Pelodiscus sinensis: one gene and its partners. The protein of the gene in region 4 purifies or fractionates together with the protein of the main gene of each other region. This does not show direct contact. Links are inferred from orthologs where the notes say so. Each region holds a gene or a part of one and is shown on either strand. Other genes may lie near its edges.

Region 1 (6,978 bases), on a different chromosome or scaffold from region 4:
CAAGTGCGAATCAAAAAAACCCAAAACACCTTCTCTGATATGGCCCCTAACTAAGAAGGAGAAAAACATTCCCCACATCCTCCTCACACACCAGAGTCTTTGGGGGCCCAGGCTAGTAGATGGTGTGTGCTCCAGCTCTGCAGGAGGCCTACAGCATCAGCATGGGCTCCCCAATGCTGGGAGGGAGCCTTAGGCCTCAGGCCTTAATCTCCCCACCTCTGATCTAAGTGAGCTAACATATTGCATAGAAGACCTTAGCATACCCCTAGGAGTATGCATACCCTGGGCATAGCCCTGGTTAAGAGCCAGGGACCTAAGTGACTTCCCTGCCCCAGACTCAGACGCCTATGTACGAGGTAGGGATGATTTTAGAGTTCCTTTCTCAAACTCCTATTTTACACTGTTGCAAAATGAGTTGTACATCCATATAAGTCAGCAACAGATCTGGGAATAGAACCTGAAAACTGACTTTCAGCATCCAGGGCTCTAACCTGATTCAGATTCTCAGACAGAGACTTCAGTTACAGTGAAAGCCAGGTATGAGGCCTGAAGAGGCAAATACTAAGGCAGGGATTTTTAACTTTTTTCTTTGGAGTGTCCATCCCCCCCCCCCCACACACACACCATGCTATAAAAGCTCCACCCATGCCACAACCTATTTTTAACATATAAAGCCAAGGGCAGAATTAGGGGGTAGAAAGTTGGGCAACTGTCAAGGGCCCTGTGCTAGAGGGGGCCACCATGAAATTAAGATGGCTTGGCTTCAGTCCCAAATGGTAGGGTCCATGGCCCAGGCTTTTGCCCCATACAGTGGGGCTTTGCCTTTCCATCCTGGATCTCAGCAAATCTGGTGCCAGCCCTGCTTAGTAAACTCCCTGAAACCTACTCACAGCCCCCCAGGGGTCCCTGGATCCCTGACTGAGAGCAGTTGTACTAAGTGAAGTGCACAGGCAAGCTACTGATACAAAACACAAAAACAGGGGCTAAGGTGAACAGTGTAGAATGATCCATGGGAAGCTTGGAGAGTAGGGTGTGGTGAACAAAAAGTGGGTCATGCAATAGCCCAAGGCAGTTTCCTCTGGACTGTCAGCAGGTCTGAGCTCCCAGATGGATGAGAGGAAAGCCAGACACCTTGCCCTCCCACATACTGGTTCCAGTCCCAGCCATGGTACATACACCTTGCTGGCAACACACATGCCCCATTAAAACCAGACTCCCTGTCAGATGGATTGCCAACAGCCTGCACTAGCTTTGAATAAAATAATTTCTACTTCACCAAGGTGTGCAGACCACAGGTTTTAAAAAGGCCACAATAAAGAAACCAAAATATTCTAATCACCTGGGCTCTTAATAAAACAAAACTTATCATTTACATGCATCACCCATTCAATAAAACTGATAGACCCACTACCACTCCTTTTTACAACGGTAGCCCTGGGCATCCTACCTATACCTTGGTGCTGGGCAATGCTGTTATTCAGCAGGATCTCCATCTCCTCATCATCACTGCCAGCAGAACAAGGGGACGGGGAGCCAATGCCCGATGCCATGTCCTCCAAACTGGGGTACCCGGGCTCCAACAGCTTCTGCAGCCTTGTCTCCTCCTTGCCAGTCAGGCCAGTAACTTAGCATAAAAAAGTTAACTTTGATAGTCAGCACGAACCCACGTTCCCATACAATAATGTTACCCAATGGATGACCTACATTAGAAGGCTTTAAAAAACATCAGTATGGAATTTAGAACTGCTCGCCCCCCAAATAAGGGAGGAGTAGAGAAGAATGGAAATGCTGAGATTGGGCACTAGTTGAGGGTCCTGATGGGGGCAGTTTTGTGTCTACTGGGAATTAAACTGTCAGGAACGGACTGCAGGCAAAGGGCCACCAAATGGCAGTCCGATGATAGTTTCCAAACCCTTTCTGACATGACGCCAGACTAGCCCCGGTGCAGTAGAGCATGGCTACATGGAGTTCGGGGGCTTTTAAGTCAATCGGTCACCATTTAATTCGAGGCAGTTAACACCTTCGTCAAAGCTGCTCTTGATGACCCCTCACCCCAACTTTTGTGGCTTTACTACTCCAGGGAGTCAGCCCCGGCTGAGCTACCGGCGGGTGCAGCAGGGAACAAGTGTTTGAGGAACAGCCAAACTCGCTTTTGCAAAGTCTTCCCTGCCTCGAGCTGGCGATCAATGGACGGGAGGGAAAGCTCCAAGGAAGACCGGCTCCTAGCGGTGCGAGAGACCCGCGTCGCAGCCGCCCCCTTCCCCACCGGGCCCCCACCAAAACCCTTTCTAGTGCCGGGGGCCCACGTGCCCCCGCCCCACGGACCCGGCGAGGCAGGACCAGCCACAGCCGCGCGGTCCAGGGGCCCCACCACGCCCCCGGGAGCCGCCCCCCGCCCGCTTTCACGCAGGCAAAACAAAGGCGAGCCCGTGGCAGGCGCCGCGCGGGCTCCCGGCGAGCCCGCCCCCCCGCGCACAAGGAAGGGGGCGGCAGCAGCACGCGGCCAGCCGGGCTCCTGGCGGGGGGCGGGCGCAGCTGCGGCTCGGGGCGCGCGGCCAGTCCCGGGGGGCGGGCGGGGCGGCCCCGGGCAGCGCGAGGCGGCGGCGGGAGCGGGGCCGTTCCCCGGGCGGGGCGAGGTAGCGCCGGGGAAGGAGGGTCCCCGGGCGCCGCGGCCGCTCCGTGCCCAGCGGGGACACAAGGCGGCCGGGCCGAGGTCGGCGCCCCCGGGAGCCGGGGGGAAGGGCAGCTCCCGGGGCCGGGGGGCGCCGCCACGAGGGGTCAGCGCCGCGTCCTGCCCTTTGAAGCGATGTTGGGGGTTGTGTCCGGTCCCTGCCCCTCTCCTCACCCAGCTCGCCCCCGGCTCCTCGCTCTCGCTGCCGCCGCTGAAGGGAAAATGGCCCCCGCTCCAGCACCACCTCTTAAAGGGGAAAAAACCCGACCAGGCCCCTCCCCGCTCCCGCTTCCAGCCCATAATATGTCCCGACACCTCGGCAATGGGTCCGCCCCCGTCACCCTGGCAACCCCCTAACTGAGACATCCCATAATACTTGCCCTCCCTTTAGAACTCCCTACTCACTGGCCGGCCCAGCATCCCATAATAATCACCCCTCCCAGCAGGAACATCCCATAATACACCCCTCCCTCTGAGAAACATCCCATAATATTCCTCACACTTCACCCCCTCACTCAAACATCCCATAATATTACTCCTTTGCTAAAACATGCCATAATAGTCCCCTTCCCTCTCCCTCACAGAGACATCCCATAATAATTGTACTCTCCCCACACACTCTGACATCCACTCTCACCCCCAGTATCCCATAATATCTCTCCTCCCCATACCATTCCCCCCTCCCTCGTCCAGACATCCTACCATAATCCCCCTGCCTTGTTAAAATATCCCCTAATACCACACACTCACTGTCCAACCTGGCATCCCATAATAAGCACTACTCCCTCTACAACTCCCCCCCCAGACATTCCATAACAGCCCCCATAGCATCCCATAATAGTCATACCCCAGACAGATATCCCATAATAATAGTCGCCCTTCTCATCCTCCCCTCTCAGCCAGACATCCCATAATAGTTGCCAGGAGCCACTGTCCAGCCAGACATCCCATAATACTCTCAGCGATTCTTAGCCACAACCCACAATACTCCCACTGACTGCTTGCTCCCCCACTCCAGCCAGGCAGCCCATAATAATCACATTCATGTATTTCCCCCCCCACTCTACCCAGACAGACCAGAAGGCACCGGTGCCATCTGAATAGCCCACAGTACTCAAGCATGGAGACAAGCATCCTGTAGTACTACCTACCAATCCCTCCTCAGAAAATCTAATAATAATACTCACGATACATACTCACCATTCGCCCCACCCCCACTTCCCATCTACGCAGACCATAATAACCACTGGGGGCACAGGGCCAGCCATGCATCCCATAATACTCTGGCACAGACTGCCAGGCTTCTTTGTTCCTCCAGATGATACACTCAATGTATCCCATAATGATCAACACCCCCCTCCCAAACACACACTCAGGCAGGTAGCCCATAATATTCACTGGAATCAGCCTCTAGCCAGACATCCCATAATAATGATGTTCACCCCACTTTTAAAAGTGAATCAAGCATTCAATCCTACATATAAACCCCATTAAGGAATGCCATCCTACAGAACAGAAGAACAATCCATGTGAACAACTCTGAGACTCAAACATCCTACCAAGGTCAGGCATTATCCACCTCCCACTCCCAGATATTAGACATGTCCATCTCTTAATGATATACATCTTCATGGTATAAACTTAATAGTATCTTTATCCCTTCCATTTTATACATGGACTTCCCCTAATGGTATTTGTCCTTCTTTATAAAACACACAGCTATTCTATAACTGTGTCCTTCCCATTGTGTGTATATGTATATATGGACATCCCATAAGATTATTCACATCATTATATATACAGACATCCCATATTACAATCCTTGCATGCCCTAATAATATCTATTCTATCCCATTACACACATTAATATATTATCTAACCATTCCTTTATACACATGGATATCCCATAGTATTGTCCTCCCCTTTGTTGAACACACCAACATCCCATAATACAATCACTAATAATCCCTTACTATACACATGTAAATCCCATAATAGCACCCATCCCTATTTATGTGCACACAGAGACCATAACACTATCCACCCTTCCATTAGAGGTATCCATATCCCAGTTATATACAGACTTCCATATGACTATCCGTTCTTTTCATTATCCATATGGACATCTTACAGTATATACACACCCCATTGTAACCACAGGCATCTCATGTCCTTCCCTTAATACTGTATTTCAGTGGTCCCCAACCTTTAGAGGCTCCCGGGCGCCTGGGGGGGGGGCCACTCACGCTCCGGGCACCCGGGGGGGTGGAGCCATTCACGCACCAGGCGCCCGGGGGCGGGGCCGCGCGTCCTGGGGCACGCCAGGGGCGGGGATGCCCTTGCACCCGGCGCCGGCATGTGCCCCGGGGCCGGGGCCGGGGCCGCCCAAGCGCCTTGTGCTCAAGCTCCCCCACTGCCTCATCGTGGGCTGGAACATACAAAATCTGCTAGCCTGCATCCCTCTAGGCTCTGGCATGCAATGGTAATGTGGGGAGTATCTTTCACCTTCTTAGTCTGGGGCCATGTGAGTGAGGGGTTTTTGTTTTGTTTTGTTTTTTTTGGGGGGGGTTGCTTTTCATTTGTGTGCAGCCCCCGATTGATTTTTCTGTGGGTCAGTGGTCCCTGGCTCAAAAAAGTTTCCTCACCTCTGTCCTACACTGTCCATTCCTCCCAGTAGACACATGAACATCACTTAATACTACTCATTTTCTATTATACATGGATATTCTATAATGCTATCCAAACCCCTTGTTACATACACACACCTCCCACAACAGTATCCATCTATTGTTATAAACACAGCTACCTCATGATCAGGGCCGAACGAAGGCATGGGCGAGCCGGGCAGCTGCACAGGGCGCCAACCGATGAGGAGCGCCTGATGGCAGCTGTAAGAGGCGCGCGGCGTCCCTTACAGCTGACAACAGGCGCCGTGTGCCCGGCTTCCGCAGTGCCAGCCCCACGGTGCTGGCCAGCAGTGCCCTTGCCCTCACGGCTGTGGGGCCCTGCACAGCCTGGCACACGCGCCAGCAGCACACACCAGGCTGGGCTGGGCAGCGCATGCGCCATGCGCCCGGGGAGGGGGGTGTCGCGCGCCCAGGCCCAGAGTGCCAAAAGGGCTCGGGCCGGCCCTGGTCATGATACCACTGAAGCCTCTCTAGTACACATAGCCATCTCATAATACGATCTTTTCTTTGTTATAGTCATCCTACAATTCTGTCTATTCCCCCTTCCCCTGTGAAATAGTTACCCCATACTGCTATCCATTTCTCTTCACTCTGGCTATGTCTACCCTACACTTTTTTTCCAATTCTTTTTTCGGAAGAGGCTTTTCCAAAATTTGGCCCATCTACACTGGGCCAAATTTCGGAAAAACCTCCTCTTTCGGAAGTGCCCTTATTCCTCATAAAATGAGGAATACAGGGCTTCCGAAAGAGCGCATCTGCTCTTCCGAAAAAGAATTCAGAAGAGCAGACGCGTTCCCTGGATGTGGCGGAGTTTTTCTGGGATCCCGGAAAAATTCCATAGTGTAGACATGAGCCATGAGCATACATCCCATAATACACCTCTCATTATACACATCAGCATCCCATAATACTATCCATCTTATACACACATGGACGATTGACATCCTCCAAATTCAGTGTATGTATTTACACTACTATCCAAACCAGACTATCCACCTTAAAATACTTTTTACTACTCACAGTAGTACTTTTACTACTCACAGTAGTACTTTTACTACTCACAGTAGTAAAAATACTTTTACTACTCACCATCACTTTCCACCCACCTGTACACACACACACAATACATCTCTTCACCTCATTGCTTCAGTTTTTCAACTGTAAAGTGGAGAAAATGATACTGTCCTTCCTTTATGTGAGACGTATAGACAAAAATGCTGCGTAAGAAGTGAAAGATGTTACTCTTACAAATATTACTGGCAAGCGCCCAGTCTATCCACTGTAATAAACTCTATCACCTATTATAGACATGTACATCTTATCTTCATCCTCACTATACATGCAAATGTTCCATAAAGCTGTCCATTCCCTCTTTACACACTGATATCCAGTAATGCTATCAGGGTTGTGGTTGTTTGGGAAGAACCATAAAGCTTCATGATAAACAGGTCAACTGTCTACATACACAGCTGGTTATTACAGAGTTCTAGATATATCCCATACAAATTTCATCTTTATGGGTGTGATCAAGTTATTAAAGGTAACACAAGGCAGAATCTCTGGAACCAGGCCAAGTATCAAAGTTATGTCTCTGTATACCCTATACTACTTTTCCATTTA
Region 2 (7,386 bases), on a different chromosome or scaffold from region 4:
CTCCTGTTTCAATACAGTAATAAAACCAAGAATGCCAGTTAGTAACTCAACAGCTTTAAAAATGTTTTTGAACAATTCTGTCAGCCTCAGCCCATGTGCCAGTTCTGTACAATAATAAAAAGGACCAAAAAGATACTCAAGTGTTTATTTTAAACAGACCCAACAAAACATGAAAAACAAAGCTAAGAGTAATTAAAACATACTCAGTTTCTGTAGCCTTGTACTCTCTAGGATTTTGTTCACCGCTAATCAAATCCTTTTTACTTTCTTATTTGAAAGATGTTTTTGGAAGTGCATTTCTGCTAAAGTAGCAAGATACTACGTGCGTACCACTGATAATGCAAGTTACACACACATTATAGAATTAGTAGTACTTAGGTACAGCTCATCTGAAGTAGCACATGGGATTATCTGGCACCAAAGATAACATGAGAAAATGCCTGAGCAAGGAGGTTCAGGTAGCCTTTTACTCACAGGTTGAATCTCTCTAGTCCAGCAATATCCGTAGTCCGGCATGATTTTAGTTAGCCGTGGCAGTGTTGGTAATTCTGCTAGACAATACTGACCTCTTGTGATTCAGCAAATTCTCTGGTTCAGCACCAGTCAGGTCCCAAGAGTGCTGGACTAGAGAGATTCAACCTGTAAAGATTTTGTATTTTGGAAAAAAGACTAGGCAAACAAGCGATAAAGACCTTTTAAGAGCAGATGTAGTTGAATTCTAAATGACTGAATTTATCTTTGAAGGTCAGAGCTGAAAATGTTGGCCGTAAAAGAGTAGATTTTCTATCTTAGAATTGCATCAAATGAACTATATATACCCTCAAAGGTGCATCTCTTATATACATATATGTTATCATACTGTCATCACCAAGGCACTAAGTGACATGACTGACAGCTATCACATGTGGTTCATTTTTTCACCATCTCCCAGAGGAAAAGCTGTACATGAATTATCCTTTGTTTTAGTAAAGCTGCACCCTGCTGTACAGATGGTGGAGAAGGCAAGGTGGAAATAGTGCCCCTTGAAGCTGATGCAAAGGTGGTGAAGTTTGTGTTGGTGCTTTGTTCCCTAGGGAGTTTGGTGACCAGCCTGGAACTGGCCATTGAGAAAGCCTGCCACCTGCAGAGATGAACTTTCCCTTATGATAGTACATTCTATTGTGTTAAGGGAGTGAAGCTGTCGACTAGTCCTCATGTCAGAATTTTAGCTGATCTTTTAGACATGTTGGGCACAGATCATTAAGCACCTTCAAGATAAAAATGGAGACCTTGATGTAATACTCTCTAAAAAGTCAATGTAGAGTTCAGAACAATTCAGCGTGCTCCCAGTAGCCTTTGTTGCAGTGGTCTGCATTAGGCAGATTGATGGTTTTATGTCCAGCTATATCACATCAGTATTGGTGTGCTAGCAAGGAACCCAAGAGCATTGCTGATCTGCAGACTGACGTGATCAGTTGAGGACTTTTAACAAAAGCTGACTGCCCTGGGACTGCAAATTCCCCAACTTGACTGCTCTCAAGTCTTGCCTGAGTTCAGCTTCAGAAAGCTGTTCACATATCAGCTGATGTCAAAGCACTGGGCTACCTTGGTGATAGTAGCATGGCTCTACCTGTTCTTCACTGCATACAGCTGACTCATCTGGTACTTGAATCCAGGCATCTCACAGGTTTGCCTAGTAGCTGCATGTAGAACAGAAGTGGGAGCAAACCCCTGCAGCTTGGAAAGCCTTCCTAAATGCGCGTTCCTTGTCAGTGAAGGGTAACACCAGGTCTTCACAGAGCTGGTCTGGGCTGCAGGCATACAGCACTAAAGGGGTATAATCAAAGAATACTAGGACTGGAAGGGAACTCAAGAAGTCATTGAGTCCAGTCCCCTGCCAAGACCAAATACTGTCTAGACCATCCCTGATAGACATTTATCTAACCTACTCTTACATATCTCCAGAGATGGGGATTCCACAACCTCCCTGGGCAATTTATTCCAGTGTTTAACTACCCTGACAGGCAGGAAGTTTTTCCTAATGTCCAACCTCAACCTCCCTTGCTGCAGTTTAAGCCCATTGCTGCTTGTTCTATCCTCTGAGACCAAGATGAACAAGTTTTCTCCCTCCTCCTTGTGACACCCTTTTAGACACCTGAAAACGGCTATCATGTCCCCCCTCAATCTTCTCTTTTCCAAACTAAACAAGCCCAGTTCTTTCAGCCTTCCCTCATAGCTCATGTTCTCTAGAGCTTTCATCATTCTTGTTGCTCTTCTCTGCACCCTCTCCCATTTCTCCACATCTTTCTTGAAATGCGGTGCCCAGACCCCGGCACGTAACCAGCCCGAGGAGGCTCTGAAGACATAGAATCACAGAACCCCAGAGCCGGCAGAGACCTCAGAAGGTCAAGTCCAGCCCCCGGCTCTAGGCAGGACCAACCCCATCTAAATCAGCCCGGCCAGGGCTGTGTCAAGCCGAGACAAACACCTCTAGGGATGGAGACTCCACTGCCTCCCTAGGGAACCCAGCCCAGCGCTCCCCCCCCCCAGGGAAATGGTTTTTCCCACCCCCCAACCCGGGCCCTCCCCCACAGCTGAGGCCGTGGCTCCAGACACGAGTGACCGAGCCGCGCAGGGACCGAGGGGAAGGCTCGTGCGGACTCGCGGCGGCTTGTCCCATCCCAGGCGCGGGCGGGGGGGGCTGTCTGAGGAGCCGGAGCAGCACGCGCGGCCTGTGCGCCAAGGGCGGGGGCGGGAAGCGACGGGCGGCGCGCGGGGCCCGTAACGGCCGCTCGGCCTCAGGGGATGGGGACCGAGGCGCGCGCCCCTCGCCCGCCGGGAGCGCGCTGCGCGGCCCCGCCGCCTTGCGGAGAGCTCCCGCCGCCCCGCGCTCACCATCGTTCTCGTCGCTGTGGCGCCTCCGCGACATGCTGCCGGGCGGGGCGGGGCGGGAGCGGCGCTGGGCAGAGGCCGCGGCGGCGCCGAGAAGCGTTTCCCTCCGGCCGGCCCCTCCGCTCCGGCTTCCTGCCCGCCGCGAGCTGCTTCCGGGGCAAAGGGCGGCGGGAGCGGCGCGCCCCGCCCCCTCCCCCGCTAGCGTGCGGCGCGCCCCAGCGAGCGCGGGGATCGCTTCCGGGGCGGGCCAGGGAGCGTCGCAAAGTTCCCACAGCCGCGGTGAGCTGGGGCGCCTGCGCGAGGGCCCGATCCCGCTCGGGGGCCGCCAGTGGGCCCGAGTCTGAGCACCGGGCCCTCAGCACACGGGCATCCCCGCCCCGGGCCCTCAGCACACGGGCATCCCCGCCCGGGCCCTCAGCACACGGGCATCCCCGCCCCGGGGCCCTCAGCACACGGGCATCCCCGCCCCGGGCCCTCAGCACACGGGCATCCCCGCCCCTGGCCCTCAGCACACGGGCATCCCCGCCCCGGGGCCCTCAGCACACGGGCATCCCCCCCCCCCGGGCCCTCAGCACACGGGCATCCCCGCCCCGGGCCCTCAGCACACGGGCATCCCCGCCCCTGGCCCTCAGCACACGGGCATCCCCGCCCCGGGGCCCTCAGCACACGGGCATCCCCGCCCCGGGGCCCTCAGCGCACGGGCATCCCCGCCCCGGGCCCTCAGCACACGGGCATCCCCGCCCCGGGGCCCTCAGCACACGGGCATCCCCGCCCCGGGCCCTCAGCACACGGGCATCCCCGCCCGGGCCCTCAGCACACGGGCATCCCCCCCCCCTGCCCCTCAGCACACGGGCATCCCCGCCCGGGCCCTCAGCACACGGGCATCCCCGCCCCGGGCCCTCAGCGCACGGGCATCCCCCCCCCGGGCCCTCAGCACACGGGCATCCCCCCCCCGGGCCCTCAGCACACGGGCATCCCCGCCCCGGGCCCTCAGCGCACGGGCATCCCCGCCCGGGCCCTCAGCACACGGGCATCCCCCCCCCCGGGCCCTCAGCACACGGGCATCCCCCCCCCGGGCCCTCAGCACACGGGCATCCCCGCCCCTGGCCCCTCAGCACACGGGCATCCCCGCCCCTGGCCCTCAGCACACGGGCATCCCCGCCCCGGGCCCTCAGCACACGGGCATCCCCCCCCCCGGGCCCTCAGCACACGGGCATCCCCGCCCCTGGCCCTCAGCACACGGGCATCCCCGCCCCGGGCCCTCAGCACACGGGCATCCCCGCCCCGGGCCCTCAGCACACGGGCATCCCCGCCCCGGGCCCTCAGCACACGGGCATCCCCGCCCCGGGCCCTCAGCACACGGGCATCCCCGCCCCGGGCCCTCAGCACACGGGCATCCCCGCCCCGGGCCCTCAGCACACGGGCATCCCCCCCCCCGGGCCCTCAGCACACGGGCATCCCCGCCCCGGGCCCTCAGCACACGGGCATCCCCGCCCCGGGCCCTCAGCGCACGGGCATCCCCCCCCCGGGCCCTCAGCGCACGGGCATCCCCGCCCCGGGGCCCTCAGCACACGGGCATCCCCCCCCCGGGCCCTCAGCACACGGGCATCCCCCCCCCCGGGCCCTCAGCACACGGGCATCCCCGCCCCTGGCCCTCAGCACACGGGCATCCCCCCCCCAGGGCCCTCAGCGCACGGGCATCCCCCCCCCGGGCCCTCAGCTCACGGGCATCCCCGCCCCGGGGCCCTCAGCACACGGGCATCCCCCCCCCGGGGCCTCAGCGCACGGGCATCCCCCCCCCGGGCCCTCAGCACACGGGCATCCCCCCCCCGGGGCCCTCAGCGCACGGGCATCCCCCCCCCGGGCCCTCAGCACACGGGCATCCCCCCCCCGGGCCCTCAGCACATGGGCATCCCCGCCCCTGGCCCTCAGCACACGGGCATCCCCCCCCCGGGGCCCTCAGCACACGGGCATCCCCCCCCCGGGGCCCTCAGCACACGGGCATCCCCCCCCCGGGCCCTCAGCACACGGGCATCCCCGCCCCGGGCCCTCAGCACACGGGCATCCCCGCCCCGGGCCCTCAGCGCACGGGCATCCCCGCCCCGGGCCCTCAGCTCACGGGCATCCCCGCCCCTGGCCCTCAGCACACGGGCATCCCCGCCCCGGGGCCCTCAGCGCACGGGCATCCCCGCCCCGGGGCCCTCAGCGCACGGGCATCCCCGCCCCGGGCCCTCAGCGCACGGGCATCCCCGCCCCTGGCCCTCAGCGCACGGGCATCCCCGCCCCGGGGCCCTCAGCACACGGGCATCCCCGCCCCGGGGCCCTCAGCACACGGGCATCCCCGCCCCGGGGCCCTCAGCACACGGGCATCCCCGCCCCTGGCCCTCAGCGCACGGGCATCCCCGCCCCTGGCCCCTCAGCACACGGGCATCCCCGCCCCTGCCCCTCAGCACACGGGCATCCCCGCCCCGGGGCCCTCAGCACACGGGCATCCCCGCCCCGGGGCCCTCAGCACACGGGCATCCCCGCCCCGGGGCCCTCAGCACACGGGCATCCCCGCCCCTGGCCCTCAGCACACGGGCATCCCCGCCCCGGGGCCCTCAGCACACGGGCATCCCCGCCCCGGGCCCTCAGCACACGGGCATCCCCGCCCCGGGGCCCTCAGCACACGGGCATCCCCGCCCCTGGCCCTCAGCACACGGGCATCCCCGCCCCGGGGCCCTCAGCACACGGGCATCCCCGCCCCGGGCCCTCAGCACACGGGCATCCCCGCCCCGGGGCCCTCAGCACACGGGCATCCCCGCCCCGGGGCCCTCAGCACACGGGCATCTCCGCCCCTGGCCCTCAGCACACGGGCATCCCCGCCCCTGGGCGTGCAGCATAGGAACAGCGCTGGCCCCAGGCGCGCGGTGCATAGGCACTACCGGCTCCTGGGCGCGCGGCACAGGAGCGGCGCCAGCCTCAGGCATGCAGCGCATGGGCTGTTCCAACCCCAGGCGCATGGCGTATGGGTGGCCCCATCCCCGGGCACATATGCAGCCCCGCCCCTGTGCGCCTGGCACAATGAATGGCCCCACCCCCTGGCACCCGGGAGCCCCAAAAGGTTGGGGTCCACTAGTCTAAAACCATTTTGAGGGAACAGGTACATTTTCAATAGCCAAGTGTCAGATTATTTTGGATTGCTTGATGTGAAGTCCAAATATGTTGTTTCAATAAGGCACCAATATTTCATTTTGATTTCCTGGATTTCATTCATTTTGATATTCTACGTTAAATATATGTCTAACATGTTTCAACATTATAAAAACAAAATGTTCTGAATCAAACTTTTTTTGGAATTTCCATGCTGTGAAAAGGTTCAAAAACTTGACTTTTTGTTCCCAAACAAATTTCAGAATGTTGGTATTTTCTGCAGGATGGAAATTCCCCTTTCTAGCCAGCTCTGTGGAAAGTGTATGTCCCCTGGTACAGAACACCTCCCAGACTGAGCAAGACTTGAATTCCTAGTGTGCTCTAATAGAAACCTCTGGAAGAGAAGCAAGGTGACAGGATGCTAGAGACCCAAGTACATGTATGTTCTTGGTGTTGCGCAGATATCACACATTCTCTCTCCCTCCTTGTGGCAGTTGTATGTGGTTCCAGTTTATTAGTATGAATAGTAACACTATCAAGGTGAGCAGTCCATAAGTGTTATTTTGTCCATAAAATTAGTGTAAAAAGGTTGTGAATTGTAAATTGTCCCTGAAGTGAAGTGTTTCCAGGAAGGAGGTGTGAGATGAGGCATGCTTCCTCCGATACAGAGTGTAGCACTCCAATCTGCCTACCTGGCAAGGGAGAGAGAAGAGGGCACCCTAAAATCCATGGCCTGCTATGCACTATTTAGCACACTGATCAGTCACCCTCTCCAATGAACAGGTCAGGATTTTTGAAATCATGAGTAGTGATAGAAATGTAGCCGTGTTAGTCTGGGGTAGTTGAAGCAAAATGCAGGACAATATAGCACTTTAAAGACTAACAAGATGGTTTATTAGATGATGAGCTTTCGTGGGCCAGACCCACTTCCTCAGATCAAATAGTGGAAGAAAGTAGTCACAACCATATATACACCAAAGGATAGAATTTAAAAAAATGAACAAATATGAAAAGGACAAATCACATTGCAGAACAGAAGGGGGATGCGGGGGGGTGGGAAGGGGGAGGAAGGAAGGTAAGTGTCTGTGAATTGCTGATATTAAAGGTAGGGAGAGTGGGATGTTTGTGAGTTAATGGTATTACAGGTGATAATTGGGGAAACTGTCTTGGTAATGGGTGAGAAAGTTCAAAGACTTGTTAAGTCCCTGTTGGTAAGTGTCGAATTTTAACATGAATGACAGTTCAGAGGATTCCCTTTCAAGTGCAGATGTAAAAGGTCTTTGTAGCAGAATGCAGGTGGCTAAGTCATTTAGAGAGTGTCCTTTCTGGTTAAAGTGGCAAGAAACTGTTTTCTCTTTGTGATCTTGTCTGATATCTGTTTTG
Region 3 (7,362 bases), on a different chromosome or scaffold from region 4:
GAGAAAGCAGGTTGACCTTCTTTTAGGTCCAGGTCAGGCCTAAAAATTAGGCCTGAGCACAATTCTGTGGGGCAGAGGAGTGGGGTGGAGGGGGGTGGGGCTTTTCCTCATGAGGTGGTGTGGGCCCCATCTAGGCACATGCCGGGGACTGGCTGGCTCAGGGAATGAGGCCTGGAGCTGCTGGCTCGAATCATGACCCAGCTTGTCAATTTTACCCCTACAGTTCTGGAAAAGGTCTGACGCTGGGGGGGCGGGTGCTGTGCCGATTGGCCATACAGGCTGCTAGAAACTGTGCTGATTGGCCATCCTGGCTCGATCTCCAACTGGAGGGCGGGGTGTCTGGATCCTGGACCCAACCTGCCTGCCTGCCTTGCCTTCCTCACCTCCCCTGCCCTGAACTGCTCCCCTCAAATCCACGCCGCATACAGATCCCGCGTCACTTAGAGACCAAACCTGACCCCCCCCACCCCGCTCCTCCTCCTCTCCCCCCACACCCTGCTCCGTCACCTGCTAATGCCGCCCTCACCCCGTGCCCAGGGCAGTGTGGGTACTGACTCCATCTGCTCCCGCCTGGCACCGATGAAAGCACTAAATTGGGTGCCTCACCCTGCCCCCCTCGCAGGGTTTTCATTGAGTTCCTCCGTTCCCTGGTTTTTTTTGGGGGGGGGGGGCGATTTGTCCCTCCCCTGCACCGCGGCCCCGAGCTGCTGGCCCTGTATGTGTACGTGAGTGCAAGGGGCGCCAGGCCGGGACGCCCCTTTTAATTCCGTGTAACAAACTCTTCTCCACCGTGCCTGTTCTTTCATGCCCTCTCTATGTTTAAAAAAAAAAAAAAAAAAGAGAAAAGAAAAGAAAAAAAAAACTACAAAAATCAATTTATTAAGAGAATTTAAATTAAAAAAAAAAAGAAAATTTGGAATAAATCAAGGCCTGAGTCTCATTTACTTATCAAAAGTTTCCCTTGGGCCTAAAAACAGGCGCCTCTGGGGTGGGGTGCAGAGACTGTTTCGATGGAGACACTCGTGTGGAAATGCGACCAGCTCTGGGGTGGGTGCTCTATGGAGAAACCCCTCACCGAGTGCTGGAATGCAGCTGCCTCTGGAGTAGGGCATTGGGGGCTTTTTATACCATAACCTCTCACCTGGTATGAGTCAGACTCTCTGGGCCAGGAGCTATTTCGCGAGGGACCCCCTCCTCTGGGGCTGAGATGTGGTCTGATTGGGTGCAGGGGCTGTTCTTACAGGGCCCCACTGCCTGGTGCAGAGGGGGTCCACGGAAGTGATCTCGTGCTAAGCTGGCCCAGTACCGTGTGAGATGGGCACGTTGGGCTGATCTTCTGTCCCAGAGCGGTGCCGTCGGCCCACGCTCCCCAAATGGGGCTGGTGGAGCACGAGGGAGAGAGCCCCTCCCCCCCGAAAGGGGCTGGAGTGAAGATGGACAGAGGCCCGCGTACACACAGGGCCCATCTTGGCCCAGACCTGGGATACCCTGTCCCCTGAACCTTTCTGTGCCATGGCCCGGAATCCCTTTAGACCTCAGGAGCCCCCCACTCAAGCCAGAGGAGTTCTCCAGCCACCTTGGACTGGCCCCCTAGAATAAGAGGCTGGTATTTCAGATAGGGTGGCTATATCCCTTTAGCATGGAAGGGTGGGGTCGTGCTGAAAGAACAGAACTCCGGGAGAGCAGTGGGGTCTAGTGGTTACAGGCGGGCCTGGGAGCCAGGACTCTGGGGTTCTCTCCCTGGCTCTGGGAGGACAGTGGGGTCTAGTGGTTACAGGCGGGCCTGGGAGCCAGGACTCTGGGGTTCTGTCCCTGGCTCTGGGAGGACAGTGGGGTCTAGTGGTTACAGGCAGGCCTGGGAGCCAGGACTCTGGGGTTCTGTCCCTGGCTCTGGGAGGACAGTGGGGTCTAGTGGTTACAGGCGGGCCTGGGAGCCAGGACTCTGGGGTTCTCTCCCTGGCTCTGGGAGGATAGTGGGGTCTAGAGGTCCAAGCAGGCTGCTCTGAGAAAAGCCCTGGGAGGAGAGCCATGATTTTGGGACCTCAGGAATGATGATTATGGGCCCCTGCTGTTCCTCCTTACACTTGGGGCTGCCTCCTCCATGGATTCGGACAGTGCCTGGTACGAAGAGGCCCACAAAGACCTCCACTCCATGGCCCCTCCCCATCCGTCTCTGGGGGGCGCTTTGGAACGCTGCATCTCACCCCCGTGAACTCCAGGCATCCGTGGGCAGCTGTTTAGTGACTCTGACCGGAAAAGGGACACGGTCCCTGGCCTATGGTCCCTACAACCTGGATGCTGAGCTCCGTTAGCCAGCTCTTTAAATGCAAAAGGGAGGCTGGCTGTGGGGGTCTGGATTTAGGGTGTGGGTGTCTAGGGCCCCATCTGGGTAGGGGCTAGATGGGATTGGGGAGAAGTGACTCTGTTGGGTGGCCTATATAGGGGGCTGGGTAAGTGAGGGGCAGGGGGCCAGGCAAGGGATTATATTTAGTTGTGTGTGGGGGGGTGAGGTAGGGTTAGGGAAGGAGACAAAAGGCTCAACTTGAGGGTGGGTATTGGCTTGATGGGGGAGGGCAAGAGGATGGGATGGGGGGAAGGGTACCACTGGGGAGATGTGGCCTGCCTTGGGAGGCGAGGGGCTGGTGGGGGTAAATACACAGGTAAACCTGGCTCCACCCACCACATCAATGCTGAATCAATGCACAGACCTGCATCTTCCAAGCACAGAACCAGGCTGGAGGCGCAGATCAGATGTTTACATAGGAGTTGGGACACACCGTGGTGCCTCAGTTTCCCCACATTTGTCTCTTTCGACTGTAAGAACTTCAAGGGCAGCAACCAATGCAACACAGGCCTCCACCCTATGGAGACTATGGGGTGGCTAAAGGGAAGTTATGGGACTCAGATGAGGGAAGTTGTGGAATGTCTGGCTAGTGGGGGCTTCGGGGGTGACAGTGGGGGACCGTGGGTAGCTAAAGGCAAATTATGAGGCTGCTGTGAGGCACAGGGTGGATGTCTGGAGTAGTGGGGACTACTGGGCTCAGTAGGGCTATGGAATGTCTGGGACAGTAAGGCTCAATAGGGGGCTAGCAGGAAGTTATGGGGCAAAGGCTGCCAGCCCACCAGGATTATCCTGGAGTTCCCAAAAATGGAACATTATCAGAAGATGAAACCTCCAGGGATGAGCAACCCTTTATAGGGTGGGGGGGGGGGGGGGTCTATGAGGGTGGGAGTAATTGAGGAATTATGCTTTGCTCTGTGGGGCTATAGGGGACTGGGAGGGGCTCAGTGAGGTGGTTATGGAGACAGGGTGACCATGGGGCTGGGAGGGGCTCAGTGAGGAGGTTATGGGGCATGATGCCCATGGGGGCTGGGAGGGGCTTAGTGAGGGGGTTATGGGGGTAGGGTGACCGAGGGGCTCAGTGAGGGGGGCTATGGGGCAGGGTGACCATGGGGCTGGGAGGGGCTCTGTGACGGGGCTATGGGGGTAGGGTGACTGAGGGGCTCAGTGAGGGGGGCTATATAGGGCAGGGTGACCATGGGGGGGCTATGGGGCAGGGTGACCATGGGGCTGGGAGGGGCTCAGTGAGGGGGTTATGGGGGTAGGGTGACTGAGGGGCTCAGTGAGGGGGGCTATATAGGGCAGGGTGACCATGGGGGGGGCTATGGGGCAGGGTGGCTATGGGGCTGGGAGGGGCTCAGTGAGGGGGCTATGGGGGCAGGGTGACTGAGGGGCTCAGTGAGGGGGGCTATATAGGGCAGGGTGACCATGGGGGGGGCTAAGGGGCAGGGTGGCTATGGGGCTGGGAGGGGCTCAGTGAAGGGGCTATGGGGCAGGGTGACTATGGGGCTGGGAGGGGCTCAGTGAGGGGGCTATGGGGCAGGGTGACTATGGGGGGGGCTAAGGGGCAGGGTGACCATGGGGCTGGGAGGGGCTCAGTGGGGGGGGCTATGGGGCAGGGTGACTATGGGGCTGGGAGGGGCTCAGTGAGGGGGCTATGGGGCAGGGTAACCATGGGGCTGGGAGGGGCTCAGTGAGGGGGGCTATATAGGGCAGGGTGACCATGGGGCTGGGAGGGGCTCAGTGGGGGGGGCTATGGGGCAGGGTGACTATGGGGCTGGGAGGGGCTCAGTGAGGGGGCTATGGGGCAGGGTGACCATGGGGCTGGGAGGGGCTCAGTGTGGGGGGGGGGGGCTATGGGACAGGATGCCCATGGAGCTGGCAGGCCATCAATGGTGATGGGAACCTAGGAAGCATGGAGGGGGCGGGGCTCTAGGGCAGTTGTGGGGCTTATGGGAGTGGGAGGAGCTGCCCTTTGCCCCCATACGCCATTTCCGCCCCCTACCGGAAGTGGCCTCTTTCTGGCCCCTTTCCCTGCGACCGCGCGCGCTCTCCTCTCTCGCGGCCGGGAAGGCGGAAAGAGCCGAAGCCCCCTCCCCCCGTCTCCGGCCGCAGCCGAAGCAGCGTTGCGAAGAGGCGGGAGGGGAGGGCGGAGCCGAGGAGCAGGCGGAATCTTCCGAAGCCGCGGCCCGGGCGTGGGCGGAGTCTCCGCGCAGAAGGAGCCCGGAGAGTCCCCGAGCGCGGGGCGGAAGGAGCCGAGCGGCGGCGGAGATCCCCGAGCGCGGGGCGGAAGGAGCCGAGCGGCGGCGGAGATCCCCGAGCGCGGGGCGGAAGGAGCCGAGCGGCGGCGGAGATCCCCGAGCGCGGGGCGGAAGGGGCCGACTGTCGGCGGAGCTCCCCGAGTGCGGGGCGGAAGTAGCCGAGCGGTGGCGGAGATTGCCGAGCACGGGGCGGAAGGGGCCGAGCGGCGGCGGAGCTCCCCGAGCGCGGGGCGGAAGGGGCCGAGCGGGAGGCGCCGCGGCCTGTGCGGGAGCGAGGCGGGGGCCGCGATGTCCGACTTCGACGAGTTCGAGCGGCAGCTCAACGAGAACAAGCAAGGTGGGGGCGGGGCGCGGCCGGGCCGGGGCCCCCGGGGGGCCCCGTAGCGTGCGGGGGGGGGGGGCGCTTCCCGTCCGTCCCCGGGGCCCCCCCCGCCCCATAGCGCCCCCCCGGCCAGCCCCATGGATTCCCCCCGCCCCCTAGCGCCTCCTTGGCCAGCCCCATAGCGCCCCCCCGGGTTCCCTACTGCCCCATAGCGCTCCCTAGGGCTTCCCCCCGCCCCATAGCGCCCCCCCCAGGTTCCCTACTGCCCCATAGCGCTCCCTAGGGCTTCCCCCCGCCCCATAGCGCCCCCCCCCCAGATTCCCTACTGCCCCATAGCGCTCCCTAGGGCTTCCCCCCGCCCCATAGCGGCCGCCCCCAGGTTCCCTACTGCCCCATAGCGCTCCCTAGGGCTTCTCCCCCGCCCCGTAGCACCTCCCAGGCCAGCCCCATGGCCCCCCCCCCCCGGACTCTCTCGCCACAAAACGCTCCTCCCCGCCAGCCACATGGATACCCCGTGCCCCATAGCGCCCCCCCGGGCTTCCCCTCCCACCCCATAGCGCCCCCTGGCTAGCTCCCTAGCTCCCCCTGCACTACAGTGTGCTCTCTCAGGCTCCCTACCACACCATAGGGGCCCCCCCTCCACCCCACGTTTTTTCCCCCCACCTCCACAGATTCCCGCCCCCGTAAACCCCCTCCCCCCTCTGATCCAGTCCTATGGATTCTTCTACCCCATAGTTTCAAGGTAGTCCCATGGGCTTCCCATCTAGGTCTTCCGCTAGCCCCATGGACCACCCCCCCTATACTTCATCTCCTAGACCCTCCCCAGCCCAGAGACCCTTAGCTAGCCCCATAGATTCCCTGCCCTTTCGGCCTCCCAGCCATCCCCAGAGATCTCCTGGTCCATGGCTCCCCCCCACTCCCTATAGTCCCCTGCTTCTATAGATTCCTAGCAAGCCTCATTTCTCCCCTACCCCATAGACCCTGCATGTTTTACCCTTTTTGAGCCTCTCCCCCATGCTATAAAAACTAGCCAGCCACTTCTGCCCCCATAAGTGGTTTTTTGCATCTAAAAGCCAGGGTTGGAGTTAGGGCAGTTGCCTGCAGCCCCATGGCACTGGGCCCACATGAAACTATATTGTCCCGGGGGCAGGGCTCAGGTCCCTGGATTTCATTCTCATGCAGCAGGGCTTCATACTAGGCCCTAGCTAGTCTAACATTGGCCCAGCTTGCCCCCTGAAATTTGCTTGTACCACCCCATTGAGAATCACTGCAGGACCCCCACCCCCTGTTCCTCAGCCTGCCCCATAGCTCTTATTCCCCTAGTCCCAATAGCCATGCCTTTAGCATCCCTTCTCCTAAGCACCCCCTTTCGCACCCTGCTCCATAGTCCCCTTCCAGCTCGTGGCCCCCAACCTTTGAGTGCCTCTTACGCCCCCCCATAGCCTTCCAGCTGGCTACCCTTTACCTCCCCACAGCTTCTCCATCCTCCGCTTCCCCTTTCCTCTGCCAGTGCCTGTCTGCCTGCCCCATAGCAGTGCCAGACCCCATGCTCCTGCTCCACCTGGCCCCCAGCAGCACCCCAACCTGTGCTGGTGCCCAGAGCTCCCTGCCCGCTTCTTGAGCACCTGCTCCCATTTGTCACCACCTCCCAGCCTGCCCCTGATTGCTCCCAACCCGCCAGCTTTCCCTGTGCCCCACTCAATCCCCACAGCCCCCTCCCTGCTGCCCCTTTGCCGGCAACCCCCCCCTCCTCCCCCAGGCAGCCCCTGCTTCTCCTGCCTAACCTTCTCCACCCTGTATCCATCCCCTTGGGCAGAGACGCTGAATTTTGATTATTAATTGTAGCAGGCTAGGGAGAGGTTGAAACATGTGGGTGTGCTCCCCCCCCCCCCCCACTAGGTGGCGGGGTGGGAGAGAGGGGCAGGAACACCTTCCCCCACTCCCGGCAGCCTCAGGCCCCTCCGTGGGGAGAGAGGGAAATCCAAGTTATCCCCTTGTGGCCGTCGTCCCCTCCTGGCAAATAAGCCCCAAGGGGTGAGGGGAGGGGCAGGTATCACCCTACCATGGGGCACCCCAGGGCTTAATGTCTGGATGCTGGGGAGCGGCAGCCAGAGGCAAGTGTTTGGAGCCAGGTGTGAGTCTCTTGCCCGTAATAGAATTGGGGGTGGATGCCCTGCTTGGAGCTTTCAGAGGGAAAAACCCCTCTGAGGATCCAGACCCGGGACCTGCATAGGTTTAAAATCCCTTGTGTGGCTGGGAGATTGATCCTCTCTGTTGCCTGTGGAAGGAAGCACATGGGACATCCTGCTGTGGTGTAAAGCGGAGTCTGTTCCAGCACCATTGCTGTCCGCCGAGCCCCTATGCAAACAGCAGAAGATTGTGTTTTGGGAGCTAGCTTACGTCAAAGTGCAGCGTGGCTCCAGAGCCAGTAGAGCCGG
Region 4 (6,867 bases):
TGGTACTGGGGGCTGGCTTGCCACTGAACTGCCTGGCAATGTGGGTCCTGGTATCCCAGATAAAGAAGTCCATCGTCCTCTCTGTCTATATGTTGAACCTGGTGGTCGCTGACCTACTGCAGATCTTGATGCTACCTTTCTGGATCTACTACAGCTATTTGGATCACAACTGGGTTTTGGGGCTCAAGGCCTGCCTGGCAGTCAGCTGGGGCTTCATCACCAACTTTTATGCCAAGAATGGTTTCCTGTGCCTCATTGCTATGGAGCGCTACATAGGCCTGGTCCATCCCCTTGAGTTCCGGAGGCTAAACACAATATGTGGTGCCACCAAGGTCAGTGCCATGGCTTGGGGGCTGGTGCTCAGCGTCTGTTCCGTGGGGATTGGTCTACTGCTGAAGAATCTAGAACCAGAGCGCTGCAATGAGGGTTATCCACTGGGGAGGTCCTATGCATATTTTAAGATGGCCACCATGCCTTTGTCCTTTTTCCTACCTTGTTTCTTCATGGGCTTCTTCTACCTTCGGGTCCTGCACAAGCTCAGGCAGGTGCCATCACTGGATCAGGAGGAAAAGCAGCAAATCTACGGATTCATTTCCCTCATCATCATCTCCTTCTTCCTGCTCTGTGTGCCTTACCAGGTGACCTCCCTCTACAAATACCAGAGAGAGAGGCTTCCATACGATCAAGACAGCCAACTCTGCCTCTTTGAAACAAACCTCTTCTTTTACCATCAGGTAGCGCTGTGCCTTACCACACTTGGCAATGTCTTGGATCCTCTGCTGTACATCCTGCTCCTTAAAGATGTGCGGAAAGAAATTGGAAATCACTTGTATTGCAAGGTCTTGGATCGGGGGCAGTCACAAGTAGATTAAGGCAAGAATGGAAATATTAGGTGGACACTGGTTCAGACTGATGCATAAGATACCCAGTGAGGTGGTGGGAATCCATTTGGATGTCAAGGTCCCTGCATCGGACCAGGGATTGGCCTTGTTCTCTGCTTCCCTTTTATGAAGCAACTCTGCCCCTGTAACCACAAAGAAACATGAAGGGAAACATGATCCCTCCAGGGACTTCTATTCACTCAGAACCTCTTGGAGAAGTACCTTAGAGACAGGTTGAGTTGAGCCACAAAATAATAATAATTAGATTGGTTCATGAATACTACATATTAGGTCTTTTTGCATTTATGGTTAGAGCTCTAGTTTTTCACAGCAATCAGGGACCTATCGTGATCTTTTAAATAAACAGTAAGTCTCATGGAAACATATAATCTCAAAAGATGGGCCTTTAACATTTAATATTTTGAGGCTATTGATAATATTGGGAAAGGTAGCAACATTGGATGGGCACATGATGAATTAACACAGACCACTAGACTAGGCTCTAGGATTGGATATAGATGGATAAGAACAGGTAGTGCCAGAGTTACCCACGGGGAAGATCTTATGCACATTTTAAGACAGCCACCATGGCTTTGTCCTTCTTCCTGCATTGTTTCTTCATGGACTTTACCTCCAGGTCCCACATAAGCTGAGGCAGGTACCATCATTTTAAAAGCTGGACCTTTAGCATTTAATGTTAGCGTGGAGAAGAAATTCATCCAAACTTACAGGATATAGAGACATAGATCTTTGCTGGTGAAAAAAAGACCTACTCTCCACAAAGGGTGAAAGGTAAAGAAATCGTGCCCACAGGGGAAAAGGAGAGAGACCCAGAGCAAGCAAAAAGCTGTAATTTAACCATGATGGGACAAAGAGAAAGGTCACTCATGTCTATGCTACATTCCCACTTAGTTCTGAGCAACAGAGATATGAGGAATTGTCTACCCGTCTGGTGGGCCACATGTGGCACATCTGGGTTCTATGTGTGCAATGTGGCAGGCAGGGTCCTCTGCCCCAGGGAGGTCCTCTCGCTCCCCGTCGTCCCGACGCCCACTTGGGCATGCCCCAGTGTTCTCCCTGGCTGGGAGGACACTGATCCGTCGGCCAAATCTAATCAGGTGACAGTCTCTCACAACACTCCAATGTTGCAGGCCTGCTCGGCCCGCTGGCAGCTGGGGGAAGGTAGGGGGGCTCGGGCCCACCCCCTCACCCAGCCCTGGCCCAGGGCCCTAAGGCCCAGGATTCAATTCACTGGTCAGGTTGGTGGGGTTGAGACCCTTAATGCACCAACCCTTCCAAAGCCCTGGGCCACTTCTTCCTTCTCTCCTGCTTGCTTCCCACCGCTCCGTCTTGCCACCCCTTTCTGCAGCAGGGGCGCTTCTTTTGAACATCCGCTGACAACGTGGCCAACACTGGGAGGGCCGTGCCGCCACTCTCGGCCCCTCTCTCTTCCTGGTCCACGGCGTACTGGCACTGGCAGGCGTCGCCAGTCAGCAGCGTGTCCGTGCATTCGGTGTCGGCTAGGAGCGCCCCTGCAGCTTCTCCCCTGCCCACTGAGGAAGGTGCTCTTGGCAGGTGGGGTGATGGAGCATCCTCCTGCTGGTTGCCAGCCGCTGCGGAGCATGTGCAGCAGAGCCAAGTTCAAGCTGGTGCCACCTCAAGTGGGTCCTGGTCAGCTGCCGTTTCCTGTTACAGCAACCTTCTATCAGGGAAATACCATTAAATATTCCAGTCTGAATAAATTCCAGGTCACTAACCTCTGCTTATTGACACTGACCACCTCCAGAGAGAGGATTTCATGCCCTGACTGGAGTTGCCTCCCTCCTGTGCTCACCAAAAGCGTTCTCCTTTACTGCTGAACCTGTGTCCTCCTGGAACGAGCTGCATGATGTGGTGATGGAAGTCTAGGGTGAGTGAAACCAGGCAGTGCTGCGGTGGGAGTGAGCCTGGGGGCATGTCAGAACCGAGAGCACACGTGTTGTGGAGCCACGAGGACGGCTGCAGGGGACACGGCTCAAAGAAACCCACTGAGCCCAGCATGTCTTTTGTGCATGCGTGCGCTGAGCAGCTGGCCCCTCATCCCTTGGGGGGGCACTTCTGGTCCGACCCGAGTGCCTCTGTCTCACAGCCTGTGCGAAGGGCAGTAGCTCCCCCAGGAGGACGCGTTGCTGGCCTCCCCCCGTGCCTGGGGGGGGTCTCAATGGAGCCCCATGAAGCGCGTGTGCAGCCCTTGCCCAGTGGAGTGGGACCCACACGGTGTAGCAAGGGGCTCAGGAGGGGGCAGCGGGCACAGGACCCACCTGAGCCCTTGCCCCGCCCCGTCAGCTCCCCCAGACCCCCCTTCTCCTCCCGCCCCGTCAGCTCCCCCAGCCCCCTCGTGGACCTAGCCCCGACTGGCGCCAGCGCGCGCAGCCCTCAGCCTCGCGCTCGCTGCTCGCCCCTCCCACCTGGGCCATGACCCGCCTTCCGGCTCAGCAATGGCAGCGTCAGGACACCTAATCGTCATCCCCGCTGTGACCAATGGGAAATTCCGCCACCAGGGAGCTCTTCCAATCACACACGCTAGAGCCCGCCTTTTCCTCCATTGGGTCAGCTAACAGTTGAGAGTTGATTAACATACACAGTAGCCAACCAGTGCGGAGAAAACTAGAGTGGGGTCGGCTAAGAAAAACCTTTAACCAATCATAGGGACCCATGAGCTAGGGCGGGGCCGGAGGAGCTGCTTCTCCAATCAGAATGGAAAGATTGTAATAGAGACGGGGAAAGAATGACAGGCCAATCAGAGTGGACAACTGAAGTAGGGCTATGAAGTGACACGTTCTTCAGCCAATCAGTATCTTTATTTCCGTCCCGTTAAGGCGCAAGGGGCACAGCCCAGTCCTGGACTCGCCCTCATCCTCTCTGCTCTCATTGGCCTGTACTGTGATCGACGCCATTGCTAGTCAATCATTGCTGAGACAGGTTTCGCGCCCTCCAATGGGGGAGTGTGGGGGCGGGCACCGCTTAGCCCGGGGCTGCGCGGCGCAGAGGGCGGCGGGACGCCATTTTGTGAGAAGCTCGGCGTGAGGCGGCTGCCGCGAGCTGGGGAAAGCGACGCGGAGCCGAGCGGGGTCTAGCGGTGAGTGAGCGGGGGCTCCACACCCCGGGACTGGCGCGGGCCGAAGGAGGGTGCACACACCCCTCCCCCTCGGGAATGGCGCGGGCCGAAGGGGGGGGGGAGGGTACACACACCCCTCCCCCTCGGGAATGGCGCGGGCCGAAGGAGGGTGCACACACCCCTCCCCCTCGGGAATGGCGCGGGCCGAAGGGGGGGGGGAGGGTACACACACATCCCTCCCCCTCGGGAATGGCGCGGGCCGAAGGGGGGGGGGAGGGTACACACACCCCTCCCCCTCGGGAATGGCGCGGGCCGAAGGAGGGTGCACACACCCCTCCCCCTCGGGAATGGCGCGGGCCGAAGGGGGGGGGGAGGGTACACACACACCCCTCCCCCTCGGGAATGGCGCGGGCCGAAGGGGGGGGGGGAGGGTACACACACACCCCTCCCCCTCGGGAATGGCGCGGGCCGAAGGGGGGGGAGGGTACACACACACCCCTCCCCCTCGGGAATGGCGCGGGCCGAAGGGGGGGGAGGGTACACACACACCCCTCCCCCTCGGGAATGGCGCGGGCCGAAGGGGGGGGAGGGTACACACACACCCCTCCCCCTCGGGAATGGCGCGGGCCGAAGGGGGGAGAGGGTACACACATCCCTCCCCCTCGGGAATGGCGCGGGCCGAAGGGGGGGGGGAGGGTACACACACCCCTCCCCCTCGGGAATGGCGCGGGCCGAAGGGGGGGGGGAGGGTACACACACCCCTCCCCCTCGGGAATGGCGCGGGCCGAAGGGGGGGGGGAGGGTACACACACCCCTCCCCCTCGGGAATGGCGCGGGCCGAAGGGGGGGGAGGGTACACACATCCCTCCCCCTCGGGAATGGCGCGGGCCGAAGGAGGGTGCACACACCCCTCCCCCTCGGGAATGGCGCGGGCCGAAGGGGGGGGAGGGTGCACACATCCCTCCCCCTCGGGAATGGCGCGGGCCGAAGGAGGGTGCACACATCCCTCCCCCTCGGGAATGGCGCGGGCCGAAGGGGGGGAGGGTACACACACCCCTCCCCCTCGGGAATGGCGCGGGCCGAAGGGGGGGGAGGGTACACACACACCCCTCCCCCTCGGGAATGGCGCGGGCCGAAGGGGGGGGAGGGTACACACACACCCCTCCCCCTCGGGAATGGCGCGGGCCGAAGGGGGGGAGGGTACACACACCCCTCCCCCTCGGGAATGGCGCGGGCCGAAGGGGGGGGGGGTACACACACCCCTCCCCTCGGGAATGGCGCGGGCCGACGGGGGGGGGGAGGGTACACACACACCCCTCCCCCTCGGGAATAGCGCGGGCCGAAGGGGGGGTACACACACCCCTCCCCCTCGGGAATGGCGCGGGCCGACGGGGGGGGGAGGGTACACACACACCCCTCCCCCTCGGGAATAGCGCGGGCCGAAGGGGGGGTACACACACCCCTCCCCCTCGGGAATGGCGCGGGCCGAAGGGGGGGGTGCACACACCCCTCCCCCTCGGGAATGGCGCGGGCCGAAGGGGGGGGGAGGGTACACACACCCCTCCCCTCGGGAATGGCGCGGGCCGAAGCGGGGGGAGGGTACACACACCCCTCCCCTCGGGAATGGCGCGGGCCGAAGCGGGGGGAGGGTACACACACCCCTCCCCTCCGGAATGGCGCGGACCGAAGGGGGGGAGGGTACACACACCCCTCCCCTCGGGAATGGCGCGGGCCGAAGGGGGGGGAGGGTACCCACACCCCCCTTCCCCCGGGAATGGCGTGGGGGGGGTGGCATACATGTTTTTTCCCTTTTCTGTTAATGGCGGTGCCCTGGAGGAGGGGCCATTTTGTCGTCCCCCCCCCCCACCCTACCCTCCAACAGTGGTGGTGGGGAATCTGCCCTTTTTTCGGGGAGGCCCATGCAGGGAATTGTGAGGGGGAATGGTGCTGCCCAATCTGAAAACCTCCAGTGCAGTGGTGGGGGGCAGTGAGGGGATGACTGACAGTGTGAATATCCTGCCCCAGGGGACATGCCCCTGGGGGGTGGAGAATGGTATGTCCAAGGATAACTCTCCTGGTTTGTGTTCCCTGCTCTCTCCCCTTGCAGGAGGAGGGGAACTAGACACATGACCCATGGCTGTGGGTGTCTAGACTCTGGCTCCCCTGCCTTTGAGCTTAGTGGCAGGAGTCACTCAGGAAGTCAGATGTGTCTGAGGTAGTTTTGGGGCTGGGGCAGAGGGTGTGAACTGCCTCCATGGTCAGAAACCGCTGTCCCCATGCACGCTTTGTCAGGTCCACTTGCAATGGTACCTGCGTGGCAGGGATCCTGGGAAGGGCAGCTAGCCCCCTTATTACTAAGGCCTTAAGAAATTCATGGTCCATTTGGGCCGATTTTATGGTCACAGGATTTTCAATAATTCTATGGTCCTAGCCCAAAAAGGAGTTGTGGGAGACAGGTTGCAAAGTTATTGAAAGTGGGGTTGTGATATTGCTGCCCTTATTTCTGCAGCTGCAGAGCCCTAGCTGGGAGCTCTGTTCTCAAGGCATCACATACATAATGGTGGCAATATTATGACCCCCTAAAATGTATAACCTCCCTGCAATTACCAGGACCCCCAGTTTGAGAAACACTGGTCTTCCCTGTAAAATCTGCATAGAATAGGGTAAAAACCCGGAGCACCAGATTTCATGGGGGGCAGGGAGGGGAGGACAAAGCCAGATTTCTTGGTCCTTGATGCATTTTTCTTGGCTGTGAAGTTAGTAGGGCCCTATGTGTTACCTCTGATTCAAAAAGAAGCTCTGTATGGTCTCTGGGCACAAACATCACTGTAGTTAGGGATTTGAGCAGCTAGTGCAAATGTCCTGTGTCAGGCTTTGCCTGGAAGGCAC

The links.
Region 1: the proteins of HNRNPC (region 4) and CHD4 purify together in Homo sapiens (affinity purification with western blotting; 3 studies listed by BioGRID, with this or other methods). This does not show direct contact. The link is inferred for Pelodiscus sinensis from reciprocal best matches to the Homo sapiens genes HNRNPC and CHD4.
Region 2: the proteins of HNRNPC (region 4) and NCBP1 purify together in Homo sapiens (co-immunoprecipitation; 3 studies listed by BioGRID and IntAct, with this or other methods). This does not show direct contact. The link is inferred for Pelodiscus sinensis from reciprocal best matches to the Homo sapiens genes HNRNPC and NCBP1.
Region 3: the proteins of HNRNPC (region 4) and U2AF2 fractionate together in Homo sapiens (co-fractionation; 3 studies listed by BioGRID, with this or other methods). This does not show direct contact. The link is inferred for Pelodiscus sinensis from reciprocal best matches to the Homo sapiens genes HNRNPC and U2AF2.

Annotation. Positions count from the first base shown.
Region 1 is NC_134711.1:138,730,544-138,737,521, reverse strand, and holds the start of CHD4 (chromodomain-helicase-DNA-binding protein 4), read right to left. Parts: upstream 3,002-6,978; 5' UTR 2,846-3,001; intron 1,625-2,845; 5' UTR 1,551-1,624; coding exon 1,448-1,550; intron 1-1,447. UniProt on the Homo sapiens protein: ATP-dependent chromatin-remodeling factor that binds and distorts nucleosomal DNA. Acts as a component of the histone deacetylase NuRD complex which participates in the remodeling of chromatin.
Region 2 is NC_134716.1:345,938-353,323, forward strand, and holds the start of NCBP1 (nuclear cap-binding protein subunit 1), read right to left. Parts: upstream 2,909-7,386; coding exon 2,875-2,908; intron 4-2,874; coding exon 1-3. Other genes in the region: TSTD2 (thiosulfate sulfurtransferase/rhodanese-like domain-containing protein 2), read left to right, coding at 2,907-3,150. UniProt on the Homo sapiens protein: Component of the cap-binding complex (CBC), which binds cotranscriptionally to the 5'-cap of pre-mRNAs and is involved in various processes such as pre-mRNA splicing, translation regulation, nonsense-mediated mRNA decay, RNA-mediated gene silencing (RNAi) by microRNAs (miRNAs) and mRNA export.
Region 3 is NW_027465849.1:3,175,586-3,182,947, reverse strand, and holds the start of U2AF2 (splicing factor U2AF 65 kDa subunit), read left to right. Parts: upstream 1-4,341; 5' UTR 4,342-4,890; coding exon 4,891-4,939; intron 4,940-7,362. UniProt on the Homo sapiens protein: Plays a role in pre-mRNA splicing and 3'-end processing. By recruiting PRPF19 and the PRP19C/Prp19 complex/NTC/Nineteen complex to the RNA polymerase II C-terminal domain (CTD), and thereby pre-mRNA, may couple transcription to splicing.
Region 4 is NW_027465841.1:161,170-168,036, reverse strand, and holds the start of HNRNPC (heterogeneous nuclear ribonucleoproteins C1/C2), read left to right. Parts: upstream 1-3,860; 5' UTR 3,861-3,999; intron 4,000-6,867. Other genes in the region: G-protein coupled receptor 4-like, read left to right, coding at 1-872. UniProt on the Homo sapiens protein: Binds pre-mRNA and nucleates the assembly of 40S hnRNP particles. Interacts with poly-U tracts in the 3'-UTR or 5'-UTR of mRNA and modulates the stability and the level of translation of bound mRNA molecules. Single HNRNPC tetramers bind 230-240 nucleotides.